Anolis sagrei: one gene and its partners. The protein of the gene in region 2 interacts with the protein of the main gene of each other region in a biochemical or structural test. Links are inferred from orthologs where the notes say so. Each region holds a gene or a part of one and is shown on either strand. Other genes may lie near its edges.

The links.
Region 1: the proteins of NEDD4 (region 2) and MAP3K2 form a complex in vitro, tested with the Homo sapiens proteins (2 studies listed by BioGRID and IntAct, with this or other methods). The link is inferred for Anolis sagrei from reciprocal best matches to the Homo sapiens genes NEDD4 and MAP3K2.
Region 3: the proteins of NEDD4 (region 2) and GABARAP form a complex in vitro, tested with the Homo sapiens proteins (2 studies listed by BioGRID and IntAct). The link is inferred for Anolis sagrei from reciprocal best matches to the Homo sapiens genes NEDD4 and GABARAP.

The regions. Positions count from the first base shown.
Region 1 is NC_090021.1:226,541,004-226,548,649, reverse strand, and holds the start of MAP3K2 (mitogen-activated protein kinase kinase kinase 2), read left to right. Parts: upstream 1-4,583; 5' UTR 4,584-5,022; intron 5,023-7,646. Other genes in the region: PECR (peroxisomal trans-2-enoyl-CoA reductase), read left to right, coding at 179-267. UniProt on the Homo sapiens protein: Component of a protein kinase signal transduction cascade. Regulates the JNK and ERK5 pathways by phosphorylating and activating MAP2K5 and MAP2K7. Plays a role in caveolae kiss-and-run dynamics.
Region 2 is NC_090029.1:1,440,644-1,448,092, reverse strand, and holds the start of NEDD4 (E3 ubiquitin-protein ligase NEDD4), read right to left. Parts: upstream 3,042-7,449; 5' UTR 2,973-3,041; coding exon 1,779-2,972; intron 1-1,778. UniProt on the Homo sapiens protein: E3 ubiquitin-protein ligase which accepts ubiquitin from an E2 ubiquitin-conjugating enzyme in the form of a thioester and then directly transfers the ubiquitin to targeted substrates. Specifically ubiquitinates 'Lys-63' in target proteins.
Region 3 is NC_090026.1:4,431,482-4,438,575, forward strand, and holds the start of GABARAP (gamma-aminobutyric acid receptor-associated protein), read right to left. Parts: upstream 3,064-7,094; 5' UTR 2,957-3,063; coding exon 2,867-2,956; intron 1-2,866. UniProt on the Homo sapiens protein: Ubiquitin-like modifier that plays a role in intracellular transport of GABA(A) receptors and its interaction with the cytoskeleton.

The DNA of each region.
Region 1 (7,646 bases), on a different chromosome or scaffold from region 2:
CTTGAAAAGTAATATATACTGAAGTCAATCTAATACATTCTCGGGCATTCAATAAATAATTTCAACCTACTGTCTTTAAGTCTTAGTCTTTGCTTTAAGGAAACTGTTACTTTGAGATATGGATTTGGCAGTAGTTTGCTTTCCAAAATAACGACGTATGTTTTATCCGTTCTTATAGATCATAACAGGTGGCCACCTGCTCCAGATGGAGAGAACTGGAAATCACTGAAAAGGATGTTTTCAGGAAAATCTCAATCAAAACTATAAATCAATAACTTGGGGTTAGTCCCTTGCCATTCTTGTCAACAATGAATTGCCTTTCTGCAATAGATTTTAACTTTTCATAATGAACTCTGCCTTATAGAGATACAAACCCTGTACATTTGTTTTTATAACAGATGTACTATAGTTTTTATAATAAATGCCTTGTGCAAATTCTGTCTAAGGACAGTTGTCCAAAAATCACCATTTATTAACATGTGCTGTTACTGTCTTGGATCTCGTTAACAAAAATATGCTCCTCATGACTTTTCTGTTTGCAATTTAAACTCTTCCTGCTTTAATGACAGTTCTTTAGAATATGTTCTAATAACAAGGAATTCAGGAGAACAAGGCCAAAGGTCTATAGTCTGTTATCTTGTGCTCTCTGACTGCTTTGCACTGATTACTCCAATGCATGCCTGAACTCTTAAAGTTGAAAGATGTTAATGTGCAATAAACTGATTACTTAAATCTGTGTTCAAATTTGTTTTAAATGAGAAGGTCTCTCAGGAAGCCTGTAGACATTGTCTGTGCCATACTGAGCCTTGTTGGCTTGGGGTGATCTTAGTTGTAGCCCACAATTTCTGCAGATTGCTAAATCAATGAACTCTTATTTTTCAATTTGCGATAAGGAGAAATGCCTCTATCTTTATCCATGAAGGCAATTGTGACTATGTTTCCTTGTGTCATATAATTTTATGAGATGAGAGTTTATTTCTCAGTGTTGACCAAGAAAGGTAATGTTCAGTTTAATAAGTTTACAAGTTGCATTGGTTTCGTACCAATGATTTAGGGGAAGAAAACTTTCCTGAAATTTGCAAAAAAGGAGGAAATATAGCAATTGGATATGATGAGTGGGGCTAAATGCAAGGCACTTTTAAAGGAAAAATGCTTCAGATTGAAAGGCAGTAGGAAGAAGACTCTGGGGCGCAGCTATGGTGTATAATTGATCCAGTTTGACACTACTTACACTCCTATAGCTCAATGCTATGGAATCATTGAAGGTTTAGCTTTACAAGGTCTTTGACTTCTGTTAAAGGATACTGGTGCCCTACCAAACTACAAGTTCCAGGATTTCATAGCACTGAGCTATGACAATTAAAGTGGCTTCAAACTGTATTAATCCTGCAATATAGATGCATACCTAGATGTTACAAGTGTACTATTAAGCTTCTGACAAAGTCCAACTGGTCAGGAGTATCTTTAAAGGTATTGCCAAAAGGTTATGTTACCAGTAAGTCTTTCCAAAATTTCCTGCCATGTAATGCAATGGTCCAAAGTCTGTAATACATTGAAAACATTTTAAACAGACCTGTTTAAATTTCACAACAAATAGAAGTTGTAAAATTCGATAGAGGTTGAGCATCCCTTGTTTGGAAATCCAAAGTATTCCAAAATTATCAACATATGTAGCTGAGAGTGACTACTTTGCTTTCTGATGTAGAAAACATTGCTTCATGCACATTATTTAAAAAAAAATACTGTACACAAAATTACCTTCAGGCTATGTGCATAAGGTATATATGAAACACCAATTTCCTGTTTAGACATGTTCCATCTCCAAGATTTCTCATTATGTACATTTATGTAAAGGTAGGTATCTAAAAAATCTGGGGGGGGGGGGGGGAATCCAACACAGTTCTGGTCCCAAGTATTTTTGATAAGAGCAATTCAACCTATATCTGTTTTGCAGCAATGTATTGTTATTTATTCGTTCAGTCACTTCTGATTCTTCGTGACCTCATGGACCAGCCCATGCCAGAGCTCCCTGTCGGCCGTCACCTCCCCCAGCTCCTTCAGAGTCAAGCCAGTCACTTCAATGATACCATCCATCCATCTTGCTCTTGGTCGGCCCCTCTTCCCTTTTCCTTCCATTTTCCCCAGTATCATTGTCTTCCCCAAGCTTTCCTGCCTTCTCATTATGTGGCCAAAGTACTTCATCTTTGCCTCTACTATCCTTCCCTCCAGTGAGCAGTTGGGCTAAATATGGACTGGCTTGATCTTCTCGTGGTCCAAGGCACTCTCATAATTTTCCTCCAACACCACAATTCAAAAGCATCTATCTTCCTTTGCTCAGTCTTCCTTATGGTCCAGCTCTCACATCCGTAGGTGACTGTGGGGAATACCATTGCTTTAACTATGCAGATCTTCGTTGCCAGTGTAATGTCTCTACGCTTCACTATTTTATCGAGATTGGACATTGCTCTCCTCCCAAGAAGTAAACTTCTTCTGATTTCCTGGCTGCAGGCTGCGTCTGCAGTAATCTTTGCACCTAGAAATACAAAGTTTGTCACAGTCTCCACGTTTTCTCCCTCTATTTCCCAGTTATCAGTCAGTCCGGTTGCCATAATCTTGGTTTTTTTTAAATATTTAACTGCAACCCAGCTTATGCACTTTCTTCTTTCACCTTGATTAGAAGGCTCCTCAGCTCCTCCTCGCTTTCGGCCATCAAAGTGGTATCATCTGCATATCTAAACAATGTATTATACTGCAAAAGTGGTTACTTTAAGCTGTCAGTGGAATCCTTATTAATAAAAACTAAATAACCAAACTGACTACCATCAAGTATATTTAATACATACTTTTAGGTTACTACTCTGGGCACATCTACACTGTAGAATTATTGTATTCCAGTTTGGCACCACTTGCCTCACTGCTATGGAATCATGGGATTTGTAGTTTGTTGGCAGAAAAAACATTGTAAAACTATAGCTGTCAGGATTCTGTAACATCGAGCCATGGCAATTAAAGTGGTGCCAAACTAAATTCATTCCACAGTGAAGATAAATCCTGAATCTACTTCCCTTTCCAATGCCTGACATGAAAAGTAAACAGTGACGATGCTGCGCATGCGCCCACATTCATCCGTGTAGAAAGCGGAGAGGCTACAGAAGCTGCGCATGCGCCTGGCTCGTCCGTGGCTACAAGTGGAGCGGCTATTTCCATGAGTAGCGTCGCTCACACAACGCGGAAGAACGCCACTGGCAGATAGAGCTAGGAAACTATGAGAAAGATGCATGGCTGAAAGTCGCGATATTCCAGGTTCGCGCACCATTTAAAAATAATACCAAGGAAAGGAAGTAAGAGGCGCCAATAGAAATAGGCCAAGGGCTGCAGAGACAGTTGAGCTTCTGATCTTTAATACAAGCAGAGCGAGTAAGAAAAGAGGAAGAAAGAGGTAATACAAGATAAAAGTATACAAATAACATTATTAAACAAATTATCCAGATAGTCCACAACACACACATATAATGCAACCCAATCAATATCTGAATCTACATGAACAGGAATCTACAGGTACGAGAACATAAACGAGATCCTGAGTTTTGTAGTTTTGTGGCCCTGGGCCTCCCTTAATCTACAAGCCCCAGAATTCTAAAGTCACAGCATTTAAAGTGGATTGAAGTGGGAAAATGCTCAAGTGTGATGAGGCATCTGCACTGTCGAATTAATCCGCTTCGACACCACTTTATCTGCCATGGCTCAATGTATTTTGCTCAGGCTCCAGCACTCTTGGGCAGGGAAGGTTGAAGACTCGTAAAACTATGATTCCACAGTATTCAGCCGTGGCAGTGAAAAGGGTTTTCTTCCCTGACATTAAGTCTAGCCATGTCCGACTCTGAGGGTTGAAACTCATCACTATTTCTAAGCCGAAGAGCTGGTGTTGTCCGTAGACACCTCCAAGTTCATGCGGCCGGCATGACTGCATGGAGGGCCGTCACCTTCCCGCAGAAGTGGTATCTATTGATCTACTCACATTTCGAACTGCTTGATTAGCAGAAGCTGGAGCTAACAGCGGGAGCTTACCCCGCTCCTCGGATTCGAACCTGCGACTTTTCGGTTAGCACGTTCAGCAGCTCCGCGGTTTCATAGAATCATAAAGTTGGAAGAGCTCTCCAGGGCCATCCGGTCCAACCCCCTGCCTAGAAGCAGGAAAATTGTATTCAAAGCACTCCCGACAGATGGCCATCCAGCTTTTAACCCACTGCGCTACCGGGGGCTCCATTCGAGGGTGGAAGCACCCTAAAATTCCCAAACGTCTGGAAAACATGAGGACATCTCACATCGCCATATGTGCGAAAACCATTTTAAAAAAACCTCGGAACTACAAAGGATGTAATCCTATCACACAGTTACACTCAGAGGATTCCTGGGCTTTGTAGTTTTGCTAGCCAGGGATTCCAATACTTAGCTAGCGTCGGGACGCTTTTAGAAAACTACCCATCCCATAATTCCAAGGGAAATCCCCGCGGCGATGACACTTTTTCTCCTTGCGAAGTAAATACGTAACGACGTCGACGTGCTCTACGTCAGGGGTTCTGCGTAAGGGGAAGGAGGCGGAGTTAGAGAGAGAGCGCTTGAGGAGGAAAAATAGAACAGGGGGAGGGAAAAAGCTGGGGCCGGAGAGGTGACGGCGGCCCGCAGGGTTCAAGAAGGAAAGAGGGACGGAGTGGGGCCTTCCGCGAACTCTTCGTAGTGCCCCCCTCCCCGTGGAAAGGCGCGAGGCTCAGGCGGTGAACGGCAACGACAAGGCCGCCATTCTCTTCCCCCCCTTCCTCGTCCACCCTTCTCCCTTCTCGCCTCTCTTTCCGTGTTGTTCTCTGCTTATTGGGACGGGGCTGCCAGCTCGCCTTCCTTCTCTCATTCCTCCCTCCCTCCCCTTTGCCTGTTTCCTGGGACAAGCCGGGGACCTGGACCCTTCCAGTGTGGAGGCCCTGGAGGCCTTGGGGGAGTTTGCCCGCCTCCTCCTCCTCCTCACAGGTACGAAGCGTGCGTGTGTTTTGATTTCTGGGATCCTTGTGTGTGTATATATTTGGGAGGGTGTTGCCTCTAAGGCAAATCTATTTACTTATGGTATTTTGGTCTGACATTTTTAAAATGTGTGTGTGTGTGTGTGTGTCCATACAACATGCATGTATGTATGTGCATTGCACACATATCTGTGCACATACAGGTTGTCCTGGCTATTTCCAGTCACATTTCAAAGATGGAAACTGGGACATCTGTGGCCAAGCACCATCAGAAAATGGTCAAGATGCCAACACACCAAGCCAGGAGAAGCAGTTTGATTTTTCCTGTGTCTCCAGAGAAGGGCATGATCCCCCGTTCTCTCCTCTCCTTCCTGCTGGTTTTACCTGAGTGCAAATACTTTTGCACTTGGATCTCAAGTGTGTATATCAGGGGTCCACAAACATTTTAAACAGAGGGCCAGATCACAGTCCCTCAAACTGTTGGAGGGCCGGATTATAATTTGAAAAAAATGAATGAATTCCTATGCACACTGCATATATCTTATTAGTAGTGCAAAAACACTTAAAATACATTAATTAAAATGAAGAACAATTTTAACAAATATAAAATTATTCATATTTCAATGGGAAGTGTGGGCCTGCTTTTGGCTGATGAGATAGGGTTGTTGTTGTTGTTGTTGTTGTTGTTGTGTGCTTTCAAGTTGTTTAAGACTTAGGTTGACCCTGAGCGAGGGCCAGGTAAATGAGCTTGGAGGGCTGTATCTGGCCCCCGGGCCTTACTTTGAGGACCCCTGGTGTATATTGTACATTAATAGCAGATGAGTTTAGAAAGTAACTGGAGATATTCATGGACAAGCAGTGACTGTGGCTGCTAGCTATGTTTGTTTCCTCCTTTAACAGAGCAGAATAATAATAATAATAATAATAATAAACTTTATTTATATCCTGCCACCATCTCCTCTAGGGGACTTGGGATGGCTTACAAAGGGAAAGGGTAGCTCAATATACAAAATATTTACAACATATTCTCGATGTGTTTTGGGGGGTACGGGGAGGGATAACAAAAGTAATAATACCCAGAATGATATGTTATATATGTTAAGGATGCATGTATATGTATGGAGATTTTAGGCCCCTTCCACACAGCTGTATAAAATCACACCCAACTGGATTATATGGCAGTGTGGATTCAGATAACCCAGCTCAAAGCACATATCTACCTTGATATTCTGGGTTGTATGGCTGTGTGGAAGGGCTCTGAGCATCTCTCAGGAGTGCTTTAGTTGTGTGTGGCTGAGTAACGGGATGCTGGACTCTATGGCCCTTGCAGTCCCTTCCCACCCATTGCTTCTGTGCATTGCCTTTGAGGAGTTCACACACATAAATACACATGAATACACATGTATACACAAACATATGCATACATCCTTGACAGCATATAATTCTGGGCATTATTACTTTTGGTATTCCTCCTTCAAATGTGTGTGTGTATAAAGGGTGTCCCAAAAGTCTTTAGACGTATGAAAAATTAACAGACATATTATATTTTATCTATATTACACATGCATTTAAATTTATTCTTGCAAATATATAGTACGCAGACAATGTTTTTACTTTTTATATTTATTTTTTTAATTTTTTTAATTAAGTATTATTAGACAATTTATAAAAAAATATTTCCCCTATATGACTTACATCGCTATATATAGGCAATCCCCAAGTTATGAGCAAGAGCGGTTTTGTAGGTTTGTTCTTAAGTTGAATTTGTATGTAAGTTGGAACAGGCACATTTTAAAAATGTAGCTTACAGACATGCATGCATGCTTTGGATAGCACGGGGAAGGGTTACCACTCCTGTGGTGTTTGTTTTGTTATCTGTGCCCCTGCTCAGAAGATTGCATCTAACTTTCAGCCCCTATGATAATTGGACTTTGAAAAAAATTCTTGTTGTGGAAACAAGGATTGGTGAGAAAGCTTCAGTTGAGACACCACAATAATTCTCCAGGAATGAATTTTATTTCTGAGGGATAGATTTCTCTCATTTCCTGTTGTCTCATCCCTGTTCTTAACCATGAATCGTTTGTAAATAAAATGTTTGTAACTTGGGGACTGCCTGTAAATTGATTTAAACTAACTTCTGCAACCTGCACCATTGAAAAACAACTGAAATGATTAAACTAAAACATTGAAATGTACTATCCATCTCCCATTTCAAAGACACACAATGAATATATTATGAACCAGCTCATCTTATAATTTTAGACCGTTTCTTCATTCTATCTTACTATGACATGTAAAGAACATTTTGTAAAATTTTGTAATGAGTATTTTGTAAATAAAAATGTATTGAGCTACAATTTCCCATATGCCCTATGTATGTTGACCTTTGTGTGTGTACGTATATGTATATATGTATCCTTAACAACATATAATTCTGGATGTTATTACTTTGGGTATGCCCCCCCCCCAAAAAAAAATAAGTATGCACTCTTGACAGGATTAAGTATGGCAAAATGGCAAGAAGAACTTCGTGAAGTTTGTAACTCTTGTGCTTTGATAAGCGGGCAGTACATGGTTGCAAAGGGATGACACCTTGCGCCTGCAATTTAAGATGGAATTTGTAACCCTGATTGT
Region 2 (7,449 bases):
CAGACCTCACCACCTCTGAGGATGCTTGCCATAGATGCAGGCGAAACGTCAGGAGAAATGCTTCTAGAACATGGCCCTATAGCCCGAAAAAACCTACAACAACCCATTCACACCTAGTTCCAACAGACAAGAGTCCTTTGTCCCACCCTGGTCATTCCACAGATATATAAACCCATTGTCCTAATTCCAACAGACCTCACTACCTCTGAGGATGCTTGCCATAGATGCAGGCGAAACGTCAGGAGAGAATGCCTCTAGAACATGGCCACAGAGCCCGAAAAAACCTACAACAACCCATTCACACCTAGTTCCAACAGACAAGAGTCCTTTGTCCCACCCTGGTCATTCCACAGATATATAAACCCATTGTCCTAATTCCAACAGACCTCACCACCTCTGAGGATGCTTGCCATAGATGCAGGCGAAACGTCAGGAGAAATGCTTCTAGAACATGGCCCTATAGCCCGAAAAAACCTACAACAACCCATTCACACCTAGTTCCAACAGACAAGAGTCCTTTGTCCCACCCTGGTCATTCCACAGATATATAAACCCATTGTCTTAATTCCAACAGACTTCACCACCTCTGAGGATGCTTGCCATATGTGCAGGCGAAACGTCAGGAGAGAATGCCTCTAGAACATGGCCACAGAGCCCGAAAAAACCTACAACAACCCATTCACACCTAGTTCCAACAGACAAGAGTCCTTTGTCCCACCCTGGTCATTCCACAGATATATAAACCCATTGTCCTAATTCCAACAGACCTCACCACCTCTGAGGATGCTTGCCATAGATGCAGGCGAAACGTCAGGAGAGAATGCCTCTAGAACATGGCCACAGAGCCCGAAAAAACCTACAACAACCCATTCACACCTAGTTCCAACAGACAAGAGTCCTTTGTCCCACCCTGGTCATTCCACAGATATATAAACCCATTGTCCTAATTCCAACAGACCTCACCACCTCTGAGGATGCTTGCCATAGATGCAGGCGAAACGTCAGGAGAAATGCTTCTAGAACATGGCCCTATAGCCCGAAAAAACCTACAACAACCCATTCACACCTAGTTCCAACAGACAAGAGTCCTTTGTCCCACCCTGGTCATTCCACAGATATATAAACCCATTGTCTTAATTCCAACAGACTTCACCACCTCTGAGGATGCTTGCCATATGTGCAGGCGAAACGTCAGGAGAGAATGCCTCTAGAACATGGCCACACAGCCCGAAAAAACCTACAACAACCCATTCACACCTAGTTCCAACAGACAAGAGTCCTTTGTCCCACCCTGGTCATTCCACAGATATATAAACCCATTGTCCTAATTCCAACAGACGTCACCACCTCTGAGGATGCTTGCCATAGATGCAGGCGAAACGTCAGGAGAAATGCTTCTAGAACATGGCCCTATAGCCCGAAAAAACCTACAACAACCCATTCACACCTAGTTCCAACAGACAAGAGTCCTTTGTCCCACCCTGGTCATTCCACAGATATATAAACCCATTGTCCTAATTCCAACAGACCTCACAACCTCTGAGGATGCTTGCCATAGATGCAGGCGAAACGTCAGGAGAAATGCCTCTAGAACATGGCCATATAGCCCGGAAAAACCCACAAGAACCTAGTGATTCCAGCCATGAAAGCCTTCGACAATACAATAGCTGTTAGGCTTTTTGGGAGTTGAAGGCCCAAACATCTGGGGACCCACAGGTTGAGAACCACCGCTCTGGACTAAGTCCACCTGGTTCCACCTGAAAGGGACAGCAACTCACCTCTGGAGATGTCCCCAGTGCCAGGTGGGAGGGCGCTTGATTTTCAGGACCAAACTGGATCTGCAGGTGGGAGGCTCCTGCCCCAGGGTGGGACTGGAAAGCGGGCAAACGGGGTGCCGGGGGGCCCCCCAAGGAGACGCTCCTGTGGAGCCCGTGGGGGCCCCGGATCCTCCTTGCAGGGATTGCAGGAGAGTGATCTTCCTCGTTTGGGAGCTGCAAATGTGAGCAGGTCCGGGGAGAAGTGGGGTCAGGCGGATCCGGGGAGAAGTGGAGCGGGGTGCAGCGCCCTTGGTTTGGGGCGTCTTCCTCGGGCGAGGTCCAGCGCCTCCCCCACAAAGCGCTCTTTGGGCAGAGCGGTCGGACGTCCCGACTTCCGTTGGGTGGGGCGGCGCTGGGGGAGAGCCGGAAGCCATTCAGGATGGTGAGGAGCGACCCCGTGGAGGCCCCCTTGACCTCTCCCTCCGGAGGCAGCGAGGAGGGGGACAGCGGAGGGGTACTGCACGGACTCCGGGGGAAGATGACCAGCGAGGAGCACCGCTGCAAGGGACGCCTGCGCCCTTCCGCTGACGGCAACTTGGACACCCGCCCCACAGAGAGATTGTCCAAGGCCACTCTGGGTGCCCAAGCGGTCGCTCCAGGATCAGACTGACCGCCGGCAAACGTGGCTGCGTCCCCGGTGGAGAAGGCGCAGGTGCTGCCACTCTCGCTGATGACGCTGCTGCTGCCGCCACTGCAGGACCCTCCATCGCTGGTGGTGCTCACGCACGAGCCGCAGTCACTCCCCGCGCTGTCAGCAGCCCCTCTCTCGACGCAATTGACATCTGGGACGTCGATCAGACCGCTGCCGGCTGCTGACCGGTGAAGGGGCCGCCCAGGTCGCTCTCCTTCTCTCCTGGGGAAGTGGTCACCAAAAGGCGCCGGTGGGGAGTCCTCTCTGCCACCTTGGGTGCTCTGCAAGGAGATCCTCAGCAAGGCGCTCCTCTTGGGCTTCTGGGACGGAAGGGGCTCGGGGGCCGCGCAACCCAGGAGGGTTTGGGTACGACTCCACTCCTTCCCGGAAACGCCGCCCGCGTCTGGCTTCCCGTCAAACACACGGCTGGCCTCTTGGCCGAAAGGATCTCGGAGCGCCTCAGGGAACGGGTCAACGAGACTTCTTCGGGGGGCCAAGTGGAGTCTCAGCTGCCTCCTCGCCATGGCTCCGCATCTCCACAAACCTTGGAGAGGTGAGTAGTGAAGGTTGAAAACGGTCGCCGGTAGACTCTGAGGAAACAGACAAAGTTAAGGTGGACCTCCCAGCCCTTCTCCGGCCACGGTCCCCGAGTGGGCTTCTTCGGCGGAGGGCACCCTTGAGAGCGGACTTCTTCCCCGGAAGGCACCTTTGAGAGCGGGCTTCTTCCCCGGAGGGCACCCTTGAGAGAGGGCTTCTTCCCCGGAAGGCACCCTTGAGAGAAGAGCGGGCTGCTTTCCCGGAAGGCTCTCTTGAGAGCGGACTTCTTCCCCGGAAGGCACCCCTGAGAGCGGGCTTCTTTCCCGGAAGGCACCCTTGAGAGTGGGCTTCTTTCCTGGAAGGCACCCTTGAGAGCGGGCTTCTTCCCCGGAAGGCAGTCTTGAGAGCGGGCTTCTTCCCCGGAAGGCTCCCTTGAGAGCGGGCTTCTTCCCCGGAGGGCACCCTTGAAAGCGGGCTTCTTCCCCGGAAGGCTCCCTTGAGAGAAGAGCGGGCTTCTTTCCCGGAAGGCTCTCTTGAGAGCGGACTTCTTCCCCGGAAGGCACCTTTGAGAGCGGGCTTCTTCCCCGGAAGGCACCTTTGAGAGCGGGCTTCTTTCCCGGAAGGCACCCTTGAGAACGGACTTCTTTCCCGGAAGGCACCCTTGAGAGCGGGCTTCTTCTCCGGAGGGCACCCTTGAGAGCGGGCTTCTTTCCCGGAGGGCACCTTTGAGAGCGGGCTTCTTTCCCGGAGGGCACCCTTGAGAGCGGGCTTCTTCTCCGGAGGGCACCCTTGAGAGCGGGCTTCTTTCCCGGAGGGCACCTTTGAGAGCGGGCTTCTTTCCCGGAGGGCACCCTTGAGAGCGGGCTTCTTCTCCGGAGGGCACCCTTGAAAGCGGGCTTCTTCCCCGGAAGGCTCCCTTGAGAGAAGAGCGGGCTTCTTTCCCGGAAGGCTCTCTTGAGAGCGGACTTCTTCCCCGGAAGGCACCTTTGAGAGCGGGCTTCTTCCCCGGAGGGCACCCTTGAGAGAGGGCTTCTTCCCCGGAAGGCACCCTTGAGAGAAGAGCGGGCTGCTTTCCCGGAAGGCTCTCTTGAGAGCGGACTTCTTCCCCGGAAGGCACCCCTGAGAGCGGGCTTCTTTCCCGGAAGGCACCCTTGAGAGTGGGCTTCTTTCCTGGAAGGCACCCTTGAGAGCGGGCTTCTTCCCCGGAAGGCTCCCTTGAGAGCGGGCTTCTTCCCCGGAGGGCACCCTTGAAAGCGGGCTTCTTCCCCGGAAGGCTCCCTTGAGAGAAGAGCGGGCTTCTTTCCCGGAAGGCTCTCTTGAGAGCGGACTTCTTCCCCGGAAGGCACCTTTGAGAGCGGGCTTCTTCCCCGGAAGGCACCTTTGAGAGCGGGCTTCTTTCCCGGAAGGCACCCTTGAGAACGGACTTCTTTCCCGGAAGGCACCCTTGAGAGCGGGCTTCTTCTCCGGAGGGCACCCTTGAGAGCGGGCTTCTTTCCCGGAGGGCACCTTTGAGAGCGGGCTTCTTTCCCGGAGGGCACCCTTGAGAGCGGGCTTCTTCTCCGGAGGGCACCCTTGAGAGCGGGCTTCTTTCCCGGAGGGCACCTTTGAGAGCGGGCTTCTTTCCCGGAGGGCACCCTTGAGAGCGGGCTTCTTCTCCGGAGGGCACCCTTGAAAGCGGGCTTCTTCCCCGGAAGGCTCCCTTGAGAGAAGAGCGGGCTTCTTTCCCGGAAGGCTCTCTTGAGAGCGGACTTCTTCCCCGGAAGGCACCTTTGAGAGCGGGCTTCTTCCCCGGAAGGCACCTTTGAGAGCGGGCTTCTTTCCCGGAAGGCACCCTTGAGAACGGACTTCTTTCCCGGAAGGCACCCTTGAGAGCGGGCTTCTTCTCCGGAGGGCACCCTCGAGAGCGGGCTTCTTTCCCGGAGGGCACCTTTGAGAGCGGGCTTCTTTCCCGGAGGGCACCCTTGAGAGCGGGCTTCTTCTCCGGAGGGCACCCTTGAGAGCGGGCTTCTTCTCCGGAGGGCACCCTTGAAAGCGGGCTTCTTCCCCGGAAGGCTCCCTTGAGAGAAGAGCGGGCTTCTTTCCCGGAAGGCTCTCTTGAGAGCGGACTTCTTCCCCGGAAGGCACCTTTGAGAGCGGGCTTCTTCCCCGGAAGGCACCTTTGAGAGCGGGCTTCTTTCCCGGAAGGCACCCTTGAGAACGGACTTCTTTCCCGGAAGGCACCCTTGAGAGCGGGCTTCTTCTCCGGAGGGCACCCTCGAGAGCGGGCTTCTTTCCCGGAGGGCACCTTTGAGAGCGGGCTTCTTTCCCGGAGGGCACCCTTGAGAGCGGGCTTCTTCTCCGGAGGGCACCCTTGAGAGCGGGCTTCTTCTCCGGAGGGCACCCTTGAAAGCGGGCTTCTTCCCCGGAAGGCTCCCTTGAGAGAAGAGCGGGCTTCTTTCCCGGAAGGCTCTCTTGAGAGCGGACTTCTTCCCCGGAAGGCACCTTTGAGAGCGGGCTTCTTCCCCGGAAGGCACCTTTGAGAGCGGGCTTCTTTCCCGGAAGGCACCCTTGAGAACGGACTTCTTTCCCGGAAGGCACCCTTGAGAGCGGGCTTCTTCTCCGGAGGGCACCCTCGAGAGCGGGCTTCTTTCCCGGAGGGCACCTTTGAGAGCGGGCTTCTTTCCCGGAGGGCACCCTTGAGAGCGGGCTTCTTCTCCGGAGGGCACCCTTGAGAGCGGGCTTCTTCTCCGGAGGGCACCCTTGAAAGCGGGCTTCTTCCCCGGAAGGCTCCCTTGAGAGAAGAGCGGGCTTCTTTCCCGGAAGGCTCTCTTGAGAGCGGACTTCTTCCCCGGAAGGCACCTTTGAGAGCGGGCTTCTTCCCCGGAAGGCACCTTTGAGAGCGGGCTTCTTTCCCGGAAGGCACCCTTGAGAACGGACTTCTTTCCCGGAAGGCACCCTTGAGAGCGGGCTTCTTCTCCGGAGGGCACCCTCGAGAGCGGGCTTCTTTCCCGGAGGGCACCTTTGAGAGCGGGCTTCTTTCCCGGAGGGCACCCTTGAGAGCGGGCTTCTTCTCCGGAGGGCACCCTTGAGAGCGGGCTTCTTTCCCGGAGGGCACCTTTGAGAGCGGGCTTCTTTCCCGGAGGGCACCCTTGAGAGCGGGCTTCTTCTCCGGAGGGCACCCTTGAGAGCGGGCTTCTTCTCCGGAGGGCACCTTTGAGAACGGACTTCTTCTCCGGAAGGCACCCTTGAGAGCGGGCTTCTTCCCCGGAAGGCACCTTTGAGAGCGGGCTTCTTTCCCGGAAGGCACCCTTGAGAGAAGAGCGGGTTTCTTCCCCGGAAGGCACCCAAAGAGAGCGGGCTTCTTTCCCGGAAGGCACCCTTGAGAGCGGGCTTCTTCCCCGGAAGGCACCCTTGAGAGCGGGCTTCTTCCCTGGAAGGCACCCTTGAAAGCCCTCTCGTCTGCACTCAATCCTTTGCCGACTCACTCCAGCGAATTAACTCCAGGCCCGCTCTTCTTCGGAGAGACTCCTCCAGCCGAACGCAGGCTGAGCTTTCTTTAGCTCCGAGCAAACGAACAGAGGAACGAACGGCCGCTCATATTTTTACCCAGCGGTTTAGAGTTACAGGAAGTCAGGAGGAATGGAGTCCCACCTCATTATCAGATCCAAGGCTCAATTTTGAAAGATTAATCGGGTAAGGCTGCGCAAACGAAAGAGCGAGGACCCTCTCGGTCGGTCAGGAGAGCGTTATGAAAGCACTTACTGTGTTCAATTTAAAGAGGGAAAACGCTGCGGGTTTGTTTTGGTTTTTTTTGCAGGGAGGAGGGCAAATGCAACGGATTGCAAGCAAGGGAGACCCCGAAAATAAAAGCCAGAATGTCATGTCATGACCACATTTTGGACAGATTCAATCTCTGGGTCACTTCTGACAGCACCTCAGCATGTGTTGCTTTTCACCTCAAACTACAAGAAAGGAGATTCCATCTGAATATGAGGAAGAACTTCCTGACTGTGAGAGCCGTTCAGCAGTGGAACTCTCTGCCCCGGAGTGTGGTGGAGGCTCCCTCTTTGGAAGCTTTTAAACGGAGTCTGGATGGCCATCTGTCAGGGGTGATTTGAATGCAATATTACTGCTTCTTGGCAGAATGGGGTTGGACTGGATGGCCCAAGGAGGTCTCTGTTGGGGTTCAGCCTGAGTTTGAACTTGAACCTGATTCTCTGTTCCTCCTGTTGCTAATGAAAATATATTTACTGATGCTAATGGAAATGTACCTTTTGATGCCAATGCTCCTGAAATTAGTGAGGAAGAATCTGCTGTAGGTTTGGAAAATGCCAATGTTCCTGAAATTAGTGAGGAAGGGACTTCTGTAGATTTGGGAAATGAAAGTCCCAGTGTTCATGAGAATGTTTCAGAGGGAGACCTTGAACTTTCCCTCCCTTCTGCACCTGTTAACTGTAATGACAACAGGAGGAACCAAATTTGGGA
Region 3 (7,094 bases), on a different chromosome or scaffold from region 2:
CCGCCATATATATCAGCATTATTATTGTCATTATTATTTCTGCTTTTATCACTATCGATCTAGCATTACAATACACAAGCTATACATATCAGCATTTTTAAATTATCATTATTATTATATTCTGCTTTATCCCTATCAGCTCAGCAATAAAATCCACAATATATACATTTTAAAATGGAAGTAAACATATACATCAGCATTATTATCATTATTACTATTATTATATTCTGCTTTTATCCCTATTGACTCATTGTTAAAATCTGCAATATATACATAGTAGCCATCCCCTGACAATGTTGCTGTGGCCCAGTCTGTGTACACGTCTTTGTGTGTGTATATACGTATATGTGTGTTTGTGTATATATGTGGTTTTACGCATGCATTGTACTGTATTTTTTGGTTTTTGGCTTTTAAAGTCTTTTGTGCTGTGTTTTTCAGTGTTTTTATGAGTCACTTGTTGGCATGATAGGTGTCTTGTGTCCAAATTTGGTGTCAATTTATCCAGTGGTTGTTGAGTTATGTTAATCCCATAAGTGGACATTATGTTTTTATTTATATAGATTAAAATGGAAGTAAACCTATATATCAGCATTATTATCACTATTATTATATTCTGATTTTATACCTGTTGACTCAGCATTAAAATCCACAATATAAACATATCAGCATTATTACTATATTGTTTTTATCCCTATCGACTGAGCATTAAAATCCACAATATATACATACCAGCATTATCATATCATATTCTGCTTTTATCCCTATTGACTCAGTGTTAAAATCTGCAATACTGTATAAACATATCAGCATTATCTTGTCTGTTGGAGCTAGGTGTGAATGTTTCAACTGACCACCTTGATTAGCATTTGATGGCCTGGCAGTTGTTTGGTGTGGCTTGTTGGTGCCTGGGGCAATCTTTTGTTGAGAGGTGATTAGATGTGCCTGATTGTTTCCTCTCTGTTGTTTTGCTGTTGTAATTTTAGAGTTTTTTTTAATACTGGTATTAAAACAGACAAGAGTCCTTTGTCCCACCCTGGTCATTCCACGGATATATAAACAATTTTCCTAGTTCCAACAGACCTCACTACCTCTGGGGATGGCTGCCATAGATGCAGGCGAAACGTCAGGAGAAAATGCCTCTAGAACATGGCCATATAGCCCGAAAAAACCTACAACAACCCATTATTATTATATTCTGTTTTTATCCCTATCGACTCAGCATTAAAATCCACAATATAAACATATCAACATTATTATTCTTATCATTATCCGCTTTCATCCCTATCGACTCAGCATTAAAATCTGCAATAAAAACATATCAGCATTATCATTATTATTATATATCAGTATTATCGTTATTATATTCTGTTTTTATCCCTGTCGACTCAGCATTAAAATCCGCAATATAAACATATCAACATTATTATTATTATTATTATTATTATTATTATTATTATTATCCACTTTCATCCCTATCGGCTCAGCATTAAAATCTGCAATAAAAACATATCAGCATTATCATCATTATTATGATAGGGTAGATATCCCTATTGACCCACAATATATATATATCACCATTATCATTATCATTATAATATGGTTTTTATTCCTATAGACCCACAATATATATATATCACCATTATTATTATATTGTTTTTATCCCTATCAACTCAGCATTAAAATCCACAATATATACATATATCAGCATTATCATTATTATTATATTGTTTTTATCCCTATCATCTCAGCATTAAAATCCAATATATATATATATATATATATATATATATATATCAGCATTATCATTATTATATTCTTATATTTTATTATATATACACACCAGTATTCGTATCATTATCATATTCTGCAAAGTGGCTCAGAGCATTAAAATCCACAATATATATATATCAGCATTATCATTATTGTTATTATATTGTTTTTATCCCTATCATCTCAGCATTAAAATCCAAAATATATATATCAGCATTATCATTATTATATTCTTATATTTTATTATATATACACACCAGTATTCGTATCATTATCATATTCTGCAAAGTGGCTCAGAGCATTAAAATCTAATACATATATATCAGCATTATCATTATTATATTGTTTTATTCCTATCAACCCGGCATTAAAATCCACAATACATATATCAGCATTATCATTATTACTATATTGTTTTTATCCCTATCGACTCAGCATTAAAATCCACAATATATACATATATCAGCATTATCATTATTATTATATTGTTTTTATCCCTGTCATCTCAGCATTAAAATCCAAAATATATATATCAGCATTATCATTATTATATTCTTATATTTTATTATATATACACACAACAGTATTCGTATCATTATCATATTCTGCAAAGTGGCTCAGAGCATTAAAATCCACAATATGTAAGGATTGAAATAGAAGTAAACATAGACATCAATAACAGTATTATTATTATTATTATTATTATTATTACTATTATCATGCCATTTCTATACTCTATAATCAGGCATGGGCGGACTTGGGCCCTCCAGGTGTTTTGGACTACAACTCCCACAATTCCTAGCAGCCTCAGGCCCCTTCTTTTTCCCCTTCAGCCGCTTTAGCGGCTGAAGGGGAAAAAGAAGGGGCCTGAGGCTGCTAGGAATTGTGGGAGTTGTAGTCCAAAACACCTGGAGGGCCCAAGCTCGCCCATGCCTACTCTACATGGTTATTATTGTTCTATATATGATAATAGTGGTAGTAATACAGGGAGGCTGGGCTGAGGCCTAGGCCTGAGGCGCCCAACAAGGAAGGGAAGGGAAGGGAAGGAAGGGCCTATTTTTCCCCTCCAATCCCTGCTATGATTGTCTCTCCTCACCGGGACTCGGTCCGGGTACTTCTTGCGGATCTTCTCCCCCTCAGAGCGGCGCTTCTCGAAGGGGTGCTCCTCCTTGTAGACGAACTTCATGGCGGCGGCGGAGGCTGAGGCGACGAGGCTGACGGGCGAGGCCGGCGGAGGGGGACACAGGAGAAGGAGGAGGAGACGCGGCCCGCTCTCCACAACAGACGCCACCGCGCACGCGCAGTCCGGCCTCCTCCCCGCCTTCGCCCGCCGAGCCGCGGAGGGATACGCCCAGAGCGAGGGGACTCGTTTTTCTCCGCTACGGAAACGGCGTAGCGCTCCCTCAGGGCGCCCCTTCGTCAGTAGCGTAAGTTGCGTTTGAGAATTCAGCACTTCGCGCAGCTGGTTATGACTGGACCGTCGAACTCCTCCCCTAGTGGCCTTCCGCCGAGAGTGACGTCACGCACCAAAACAAAGTAGTCCCGAAAGCTTTTCTCCGCTTCTCCTTCCGCCGCTCCGGATTTTAAAGGGACAGACATCTTTATACCGTTATCTGATTTTAAACCGACATCTTTATACCGGTATCGGATTTAAAAAAAAGCAAAAGCAAAGGAGGAACTGAAACGCGGAAGGATCCGGGTCCGAGGCGAGGTGAGGTAAAGCGTCCTGTCATGTGGCTGACGTCAGCGGAGAGGAATTGTCACGTGCACTCACACCCCCGCGAAGTAGTCCCGGCGGGAGGGAGGGGCTGGTGACGTGAAGGGGCGTGGCCAAGGAATAGGGGTGGGGTTTCCCTCATTGCTTCGCGCAGGCGCAGAAAGAAAAGCTTCTTCTAGCCTTGAACTCCCATCATTGTCACTATTGAGACTGGACTGGGATCAAAGGAATTGAGGATTATTGGTTGATATAGATATTATATATATATATATGTGTGTGTGTGTGTGTGTGTATATATATAAATATTACATTAACCTATAATATATAATAATATAGAATTGTGTGTGTGTGTATATATATACACATCCACCTATAATATAGAATAATGTATATATACATCTACCAATATTTATATATATATATATATATATATATATATATATATATATATATATATATATATATATATATAATTCTGTGTGTGTGTGTGTATATATATAGGTGCATCCACCTATAATATAGAATAGTTTGTATATATACATCCACCAATATATATAGAATTGTGTGTGTGTTAGTGTATATATACATCTACGAATATACAATATAGAATTGTGTGTGTGTGTGTATATATGTATAAGTGCATCCACCTATAGTATAGAATAGTGTATATATACACTATAGTGTGTGTGTATATATATACAGTGTGTGTGTATATATATACATCCTCCAATATATAATATAGAATAGTGTGTATGTATATATATATAGGTGCATCCACCTATAATATAGAATAGTGTGTATATATATACATCCTCCAATATATAATATAGAATAGTGTGTGTGTGTGTATATATAGGTGCATCCACCTATAATATAGAATAGTGTATATATATATATACATCCATCAATATATAATATAGAATTGTGTGTGTGTGTATATATGCATCCACCTATAATATAGAATAGTGTTGTATATATACATCCACCAATATATAATATAGATTTTGTGTGTGTGTGTGTATAGGTGCACCCACCTATAATATTGAATAGTGTGTATATATACACCCACAAATATATAATATAGAATTGGGTGTGTATATATTGTGTGTATATATATAGGTGCATCCACCTATAATATAGAATAGTGTGTATATATGCATTCACCAATATGTAATACAGAATTGTGTTGTTGTGTATATATAGGTGCATCCACCTATAATATAGAATAGGGTATATATACATCCACCAATATATAATCTAGAATAGTGTGTGTGTGTGTGTGTATAGGTCCATCCACCTATAATATAGATTACTAGTGTATATATATACATCCACCAATATATAATATAGAATTGTGTATGTGTGTGTGTGTATATATATATATAGGTGCATCCACCTATAATATAGAGTAGTGTTGTATATATACATCCACCAATATATAATATAGATTTTGTGTGTGTGTGTGTGTGTATAGGTGCACCCACCTATAATAAAGAATAGTGTATATATACATCCACCAAAATATAATATAGAATTGTGTGTGTGTGTATATATATATATGTGCATCCACCTATAATATAGAATAGTGTGTATATATGCATTCACCAATATGTAATATAGAATTGTGGGTGTGTGTATATATATGTGTGCATCCACCTATAATATAGAATAGTGTATATATACATCCACCAATATATAATATAGAATTGTGTGTGTGTATATATATAGGTGCATCCACCTATAATATAGAATAGTGTGTATATATATACATTCACCAATATAGAATTGTGTGTGTGTATATATATTGGTGCATCCACCTATAATGAAGAATAGTGTGATATATACATCCACCAAAATATAATATATAGAGTGTGTGTGTGTGTGTATATATCTAGGTGCATCCACCTATAATAGTGTTTATATATACATCCACCAATACAGAATTGTGTGTGTGTGTGTGTATATATATATATATATAGGTGCATCCACCTATAATATAGAATAGTGTGTGTATATATACATCCACCAATATATAATATAGAATTGGGCCAAACCTCCCACACAGAAACCCCATGTGGGCCACAGCAACACCTGGCAGGGGACGGCTAGTAAGTGTGTATATATATATGTGTGTGTGTGTGTGTGTGTATATATATATATATATATATAACAACCTATGTAAGTTATACATATGATATATATGTTTTATTATTTTATTACTGTTGCTTCATTGTGTATTATTTTGATATGTTTGTACTCAGGGAGAGAGGGCAGTCCAAAAATAAAGTTTTATTATATATTATATTATTATTATTATTATTATTATTATTATTATATTGGTGAATGTACAATGGATTGGTGAAAGAAGACGTTTGAAAAACAAGGAAGTATTTAGAAATAAATTGTTGAAATACAGTAAGATTAATTTAAATTCAGAGGGAATAAGGATACTACGAAGGTGATGAGTTAAATATGAATTTAGAAGACAAAATGGATAAATGGGGTTGACATGAATGTTAAATTCATGCTAAATCATAATAATGTTGCAATAGGTTGGTTTATATTTAGCAGAAGCCGAAATGCAATTTCGTAGAACAAGAAGTATATGTAATAAGTTGGTGGCCTTTGCTTAGGGAGGACCAATGTAAGTTAATTTTGTTTACTATTTTATGTTACAAAGGGGGAGGGATAGAAGCTAGTTGTTAAGTGTTTGTTGGAATATTATGGAGTGATTTTTTTTTCATACTGCATCCTTTGCTTTGCTTCTTAGTTCCGTGTTTGTTGTTTCCTTTATATTTCTGCTTTGTTGTGAAAATGGAATAAAAATTAATTTGAAAGACGACCAAAGCTGCAAAGCGTGGTATTCCCCCCCCCCCCCCCAAATAAGGCCCTCCTTGGGAGGAATCTTGCCACTCTCTAAGGGCAAATGGACTGCAACACCCATCGTTCTGCTCCCATTTTGGCCAATGGGAGTTGTTGTTACATCACAGGCACATAAGGTTCACACAGGAGATAGATTTTAGAGAAGCAGAGGGACGTCTGCATTGTAGAATTAATGCAGTTTGACCCCACTTGAACTACAAGGGCTACAATGGGATCCTAGGAGTTGCAGTTTGTCGAGGGTTTTTTTTTTTTTGCCAAATAATGCCAAACTACAACTCCCAGGATGCCATTGCATTGAGCCACGGAAGTCCAAGTGGCGTCAAACTGCATTAAGTGGCGTCAAACTGCATTAAGTCTACAGTACAGGTTCAGCTGTACTCATCAAGAGGAGCATAGTGTCTAGATCTAGGGAAGTCATGCTCCCCATGCTCTATTCCGCCTTGGTTAGACCACACCTGGAATACTGTGTCCAATTCTGGGCACCACAATTCAAGAGAGATATTGACAAGCTGGAATGTGTCCAGAGGAGGGCGACTAAAATGATCAGGGGTCTGGAGAACAAGCCCTATGAGGAGCGGCTTAAGGAGCTGGGCATGTTTAGCCTGAAGAAGAGAAGGCTGAGAGGAGATATGATGATAGCTATGTATAAATATGTGAGAGGAAGCCACAGGGAGGAGGAGGGAGCAAGCTTGTTTTCTGCTTCCCTGGAGACTAGGACGCAATG